Linked DNA regions of Saccharomyces cerevisiae S288C. Changing the gene in region 1 together with any one later gene gives a genetic interaction. Each region holds a gene or a part of one and is shown in the gene's direction. Other genes may lie near its edges.

Region 1 (3,395 bases):
AACATCATTACTCTATACTTCTGGCTCAGCAACAGGTACCCAAACTACTTCATTGACATGGAATCTGCTAAAGATTTGAAGTATTTCTGTGAGATGATTATTTTCGAGAAACTTGATCGATTAAAGAAGAATCCTTACGCACATAAGCCCTTTGGTTCTACAAGAGGTCACCTCTCATCTTCGAGAAGAAGATTGCGTACATAATCTACGATATATCCTGTAAATAGAAACAGCTACACTGCTTGAAAGCCTTAACATGATACATTTCTGGTATGATGCCATTGTTGTGCCCTGCCGGGTTTATCGTTTCCTAACAGGCACGTCACTTATAACGAGGTGCCTGTCGTTTACCGCCCAAGCCGGTTTTTTCGCTGGAGAGTACGGTACTACTAGCCCACCACACGTTCGTGGCCAGGTTGATAGGCCACCGTTGAGCAAAGGGCAGTAAAATATATAAAAGAGGAACAAGCGCTTCCATTAAGAGCACTGCTAAGCCTACTCGTTTTCTAGTTCTCTGAAAAAAGGTAGCCTAAAACAAGCGCCATATCATATATATTTATACAGATTAGACGTACTCAAAATGTCTCAGAACGTTTACATTGTATCGACTGCCAGAACCCCAATTGGTTCATTCCAGGGTTCTCTATCCTCCAAGACAGCAGTGGAATTGGGTGCTGTTGCTTTAAAAGGCGCCTTGGCTAAGGTTCCAGAATTGGATGCATCCAAGGATTTTGACGAAATTATTTTTGGTAACGTTCTTTCTGCCAATTTGGGCCAAGCTCCGGCCAGACAAGTTGCTTTGGCTGCCGGTTTGAGTAATCATATCGTTGCAAGCACAGTTAACAAGGTCTGTGCATCCGCTATGAAGGCAATCATTTTGGGTGCTCAATCCATCAAATGTGGTAATGCTGATGTTGTCGTAGCTGGTGGTTGTGAATCTATGACTAACGCACCATACTACATGCCAGCAGCCCGTGCGGGTGCCAAATTTGGCCAAACTGTTCTTGTTGATGGTGTCGAAAGAGATGGGTTGAACGATGCGTACGATGGTCTAGCCATGGGTGTACACGCAGAAAAGTGTGCCCGTGATTGGGATATTACTAGAGAACAACAAGACAATTTTGCCATCGAATCCTACCAAAAATCTCAAAAATCTCAAAAGGAAGGTAAATTCGACAATGAAATTGTACCTGTTACCATTAAGGGATTTAGAGGTAAGCCTGATACTCAAGTCACGAAGGACGAGGAACCTGCTAGATTACACGTTGAAAAATTGAGATCTGCAAGGACTGTTTTCCAAAAAGAAAACGGTACTGTTACTGCCGCTAACGCTTCTCCAATCAACGATGGTGCTGCAGCCGTCATCTTGGTTTCCGAAAAAGTTTTGAAGGAAAAGAATTTGAAGCCTTTGGCTATTATCAAAGGTTGGGGTGAGGCCGCTCATCAACCAGCTGATTTTACATGGGCTCCATCTCTTGCAGTTCCAAAGGCTTTGAAACATGCTGGCATCGAAGACATCAATTCTGTTGATTACTTTGAATTCAATGAAGCCTTTTCGGTTGTCGGTTTGGTGAACACTAAGATTTTGAAGCTAGACCCATCTAAGGTTAATGTATATGGTGGTGCTGTTGCTCTAGGTCACCCATTGGGTTGTTCTGGTGCTAGAGTGGTTGTTACACTGCTATCCATCTTACAGCAAGAAGGAGGTAAGATCGGTGTTGCCGCCATTTGTAATGGTGGTGGTGGTGCTTCCTCTATTGTCATTGAAAAGATATGATTACGTTCTGCGATTTTCTCATGATCTTTTTCATAAAATACATAAATATATAAATGGCTTTATGTATAACAGGCATAATTTAAAGTTTTATTTGCGATTCATCGTTTTTCAGGTACTCAAACGCTGAGGTGTGCCTTTTGACTTACTTTTCCGCCTTGGCAAGCTGGCCGGGTGATACTTGCACAAGTTCCACTAATTACTGACATTTGTGGTATTAACTCGTTTGACTGCTCTACAATTGTAGGATGTTAATCAATGTCTTGGCTGCCTTCATTCTCTTCAGGCTCTATTAATTTTAACCGTTATAAGTTCCTTTTCTCCCTTGGAAGCAAACATCAACTGCCTTAAAATCTGGTGGCGAGGAAAGAGGAAATGGCATGTACTAATGATGGTCCTAATAAATATCCCGAAATTGTGAGTGTTAAGCACCTGTTCCAACATTCGGGATCCAAGCATGAATTTAGTGCTGGTAAACGATTTTCAAAATCCATTGGTAAAATATTCAAACGAAACTCTGCTTTGAAAACTTCTAGAACTGAAACGGCAAATCATAAAATGGAATTGAAAAAAAGAGAGGGTGTTACCTTATTGCCACCTGTCCCAGAATCATTATTACATAAACTCAATTCTTGGTTGGAAACTTTTTCTTCCACCAAGAACATGAAAATCGAAGAAAACAAAATTGTTATTAATGAAAAAGAGATTCGGGATTCAGTCTCTTACTACCCTGATAAGAATGGAGGAAGTGCTGTATTTTGTTACTTGCCCGACCTTGTGCTATATTATAAGCCGCCTATAAAAGTCACAGGCAAGCAATGTCCAATAAAGAGAAGTCCTTGGGAATCGATGGAAATCCAATATCAAAAGTTTATGTACCCCTTAGAAAGGTTGGAAAGACAGTTTGAGGAAGTTCCATTTAGGCCCTGGTATTTTGCAATGCGATTAAAGGAACTTTACAGATGCTGTGAAAGGTCTTTTACTAACGCGGCAAATAGAGGAAAGGCAAGGTTATTGCGGGGGAAGCAAAGGACGAAAAAATCGTATCATAAGACTGTCAACCTGGTATCAGCGAAGATTTCCACCCATTCAAATGCGCCGTCGCCGGGCTGAGAAACAAAAAAAGTGACTAAGTTCTGTCATTCTATCATTATTGTAATTAGTTATGTAGGACATATATATCCATAGTGATCTCCTTTTGATCAAAGAAGACACTGAAAAGTCGTAAGTTCGTAAAAAAAGTATGAAAATCGTTCCAGCCATTGCTTATAGCCATCCTAGTAGGATACTAGAAAAAAAACAAACCTCAAAGATAAAAAGAAAAGGTGAAGCTATTACCGAATTAGAACATAAGATAATACAGTGAGTATAAAGGTGAGACCTGCTCAATAATCTGGTAACCATTTCTCGTTTGGACCGTCTGTTAAAGTAGAAAAATTCATTTGTAAGCATAATAGCCTATTTCTTAATGTATCTTGTTGGAATTTGCAATCTTTGGAAGCACTAACGTCATCGATATCAGATTGGTAAGGTGTACTGTCCATTGAGGAAGTTAAAAAGGTACTATTATTGTGGTTGTTAGTGTATTCATACTTTTCCATACTTCCGTCACTATTATACG
Region 2 (4,236 bases), on another chromosome or scaffold:
ATACTATTAATAACTAGTAATTTCCGTGAAGTCATTAAAATGAACAAAACGATAAAACGGTTTCTTATTGCTAATGTGCTGATTTTTTGCCAAAAGGTAAAATCTAAAAATATCAATTGCATACCTTCACATTTGGTATATTACCATATAATAGCAAGATGACATAAATCGGTGAGGAGCAGTTACCAAATTCCATGGAAGATGAAAAACAGGGTTGATAATATAATAAACTGTTGGAACGAGAGTAATTAATAGTGACATGAGTTGCTATGGTAACAATCTAATGCTTACATCGTATATTAATGTACAACTCGTATACGTTTAAGTGTGATTGCGCCTATTGCAGAAGGAATGTTAAACGAGAAGCTCAGACAATACTGAAGCTGTGTTAAAGACCTATTAGTTGAACATGTTATGGTAGGTACATATATGAGGAATATGAGTCGTCACATCAATGTATAGTAACTACCGGAATCACTATTATATTGGTCATAATTAATATGACCAATCGGCGTGTGTTTTATATACCTCTCTTATTTAGTATAAGAAGATCAGTACTCACTTCTTCATTAATACTAATTTTTAACCTCTAATTATCAACATAAACAATGGAAGAAAAATAATAATATTACCAAGCAAAATTATTGTCCTTGTGGATTTCGATATTTTCAACAGGTACCTTAGTAGAGCTGAAGTTTTTTCAAATTAAACATTTATGTGGTAGTCATATATATGTGTCATGCGAGTCTTTACATTAAATATATGGTAACCACCAGAGAACTTGTTATATTAGTCACGATTAATAATGTTGGAATAAAAATCCACTACCGTCTATCAACTAGTAGTTATATTATCAATATATTATCATAGACGGTGTTAGATGATGATATAAATTATGAGAAGCTGTCATCAAAGTTAGAAGAAGCTGAAATGCAAAGATTGATAATATGATAGGATAATGAAACATATAAAATAGAAAGAGGGATAATCGTAATATTAGTATGTAAAAATATACATTCCATTTTGAGGATTCCTATGTCCTCGTGGAGAACTTTTAGTATATTCTGTTTACCTAATATTATAATCTTTTATCAACAATGGAATCCCAACAATTATCTCAAAATTCACCTATATCTCAAATAATAAACCGATCGGACTGCGTTCAGTGAACCTCTCTTATATAGTATAGGAAGATCCAAATTTATTATTCGCTGATATGACCTTTTGACCTTTACATATTAACGAGGTGCTTTTACCAATGCATAGACGAGCAGCTTATCCCATAATGAGTTTAAATTCTATTCAACTCATAACAACTTATAGTTGCTATAGTCACACCTTTTCAACAGATAAGTGGTTGTTTGGCCGAGCGGTCTAAGGCGCCTGATTCAAGAAATATCTTGACCGCAGTTAACTGTGGGAATACTCAGGTATCGTAAGATGCAAGAGTTCGAATCTCTTAGCAACCATTATTTTTTTCTCGCGTATTCCTTTGAGGGCGCCCCTTTATGTTGAAATATTGAGAAGCTACGAATCAAACTTTGAAGTCAGTTGAGTAAGCAATATGAAAAACATTGGAAAATACAATAAAACACAATTACGAAAACTATATTGTTTTGAACAGAAAAATAGAAGGAAGTACTAAAATTACTCTTTCACCACACAACAATTTTAACTCAAGAAGATAATCACTGCTTACTTTTATATTTTATAGACAATTTGCACTTTGGGGTATTTTTCTTAATTTTATCTGGGTTTTTTTCTTCTTTTTACAAAGAAACTATGCTAAGAATATGAACTCTTCCACTTCTTCAGAAAATGTGTTCATAAATTCATTTAGCTATTTGAATCAAACATCACAAGCCGTAATCTCAGGTAACTCCACTTTCGCAAATGTTATCAACTTTCCTTATAGACTTGGATTATCCTTTATTGGGGCTGTGAACTTGCAGTACGAGCAAACCGTTAAATCTGAAGAAATTCCCCCAACTCTAAGGTCTGTTTTTGATACAATAGGGTTTTTTTTCAGCCCGTACGCCATATTTTGCTTTGTAATCGCCATTGTCCTGAACCGGTTCGTTGTATTTTACGCCGTCCTTAACAACGGTTCCAGACGTACTTTACCGTTATGGTTGAGTAATGTTTTCCATGTATCAGCAGTAGTTGTATTAGCAATGGTATCCTTAGGTCCGCTGACCTTGGGTAAGGATTTCAAAATATTAGGCGACCCTGCTTTTGCCCAAGAAAAATTTTTACTGAATATATTCTACGCTTTCGCTTACTCTTATTGTGTCGAAACCATATTTACCATCATGCGGAATTCCAGCCCTTTGGAGGGCACTGACTATTCATTGTTTGAACTTTCGATTCAGTTTTATACAATGACTAATAATAATACTAAATTTTTAGATTCTCCTGATTACATTATAGACTGTTCTATGGCTATTTTGAGCAGGATATTGATCCATTTGGTGGAGATTTTCAGGCTTAGAAATTATCGTCTACTTTTTAGTACTATTATGAACCTCTGTCATATTTGTTACTTAGGGATAAGAGTTAAGCAGGGCGGCTGGAAAAGCCTTCCATTTTCGGTGAAATTTAGGCACTTTCCAAAACTGTTTTCAGTGTCTATTATTTGCTTATCATTACTGATTTTTAAATTATCATGCTTAATTAGATGGGATCCATTTGGAAAATCACGTAATTCTTGCGAACTTTTACAGTTTTACCCTCTCAGTAGAAATTGGAAAAAATACTTAAATTACACGGGAGAAGAAGATTTTTCTGCTATGGCCACTAAATTCGCACTATTATTATGCTCAGGAACTGAACTAATGGAAAAGGGTATACGAAGAGAATTTCCTGCTATTAACATCCCGGATAATGTTAATGAGAAATTTTTTATTAGCGGTTATTTAAATGAACTTTCTAAACCGTATAAAGAGAACACTTCCATCAGCTTCCCAAAGAAAAATTCATCAATATTAAAGCAAAGATTTTTTTTAATGTTTCCAAAATCTATAATATGGATCATGAAGAAGCTTGTAGGCCAAGTATTCTTTGGCTTCAGAGATAACAAGGACGAGGACATCCCCGACAACGACCCATCAAAAATGTTAAAGATAACTAAAACGAACTCTCTCAATAATAGTGCCGGCCACAAAGAAGATATTGAACTTGAACTATTGAACACATCAGATGATGAGTATTCTGAAGATTACGAGCCTTCTGAAGTTGAGTCACTGGGGGATTCTGATGAAGAAAACTTGGAAGAAGATTCACTGATTTTCAACGAAACTCGGGATGCCCTACTGGATTTATTTTCTTCCGAAGATAATGAAGTTCATACTGATTATAATTGGATCATGTCAACTAGCCGTATCCTTCAACAAAAATTACTGTCAGATAAAACTTTGACAAGGGCGTCTATCTTAGATACAAAGTTAAGTGAAGTAGATGAGACTTTTGGTACAGAAAGTGATTTTGATCTATCTTGCGCGGTATGCAAAGTCAATGAAAGAAATACAGTATTATGGCCCTGCCGATGTTTTGCCATTTGCGAGGATTGCAGAATTTCTTTGGGTTTACGTGGGTTCAGCACTTGCGTATGTTGTAGGAGTAAAGTTCATGGGTACTGTAAGGTTCATCCTGTTTCAGATAGTAAATAATAGTTTAAGAACTTTTGCATGGTATCTAAAAGAGGTTTTTCGTTTGGGAGCTCTAGCATTAATTACTATAGCTAGAGCTTTCTGTGTTGCACATATAAACATCATAATAATAAATCAAGTTTTTTTTCTTTGGGAAATGTTCGAATTAAAATTGTACTTATAACATATCGTATCATTAGTATATATATAAAAGTGTCAGTGGCGATTATATCATTAGAGGAGGAAAGAATAAACTATACATCGATTTGCCGTCATTTCTGTATTTATGGCATATTGACTCTGAACTCATGCCATCTAATGGTGGAACAAACGGATTGGGTTCTCTACGTAAACCAAATCGAATGAATCGGCAGCTGAAAATACAACCTTGTCCATGACAGAACCAGATGGAGCGGCAATGTATTTGACACCGGATTTAACTGCTCTGTAAACATTGTCTGGGAATGGGAAAAATGCATCCGATGACAAAGAAACGTTGGTTAATTTACTCAACCATTCCTTTCTTTCTTCTGGAGTAAATGGTTTTGGAATCTCCTCGAACTTCGATTGGTATTCAGACAATTCTGGT

Evidence for each region.
Region 2: mutations in SMA1 (region 1) and ASI1 together harm fitness more than expected from each alone (negative genetic interaction), as found in Saccharomyces cerevisiae (2 studies listed by BioGRID).

Annotation. Positions count from the first base shown.
Region 1 is NC_001148.4:497,516-500,910, forward strand, and holds SMA1 (Sma1p), read left to right. Parts: upstream 1-2,149; coding exon 2,150-2,887; downstream 2,888-3,395. Other genes in the region: ATP-dependent RNA helicase SUV3, read left to right, coding at 1-204; ERG10 (acetyl-CoA C-acetyltransferase), read left to right, coding at 581-1,777; putative serine/threonine protein kinase SKS1, read right to left, coding at 3,160-3,395. UniProt on the Saccharomyces cerevisiae protein: Involved in spore and ascus formation. Required for the efficient assembly of the precursors of the prospore membrane to a continuous prospore membrane.
Region 2 is NC_001145.3:503,540-507,775, forward strand, and holds ASI1 (putative ubiquitin-protein ligase ASI1), read left to right. Parts: upstream 1-1,793; coding exon 1,794-3,668; downstream 3,669-4,236. Other genes in the region: bifunctional phosphoribosylaminoimidazolecarboxamide formyltransferase/IMP cyclohydrolase ADE17, read right to left, coding at 3,963-4,236. UniProt on the Saccharomyces cerevisiae protein: E3 ubiquitin-protein ligase which transfers ubiquitin to substrates promoting their degradation.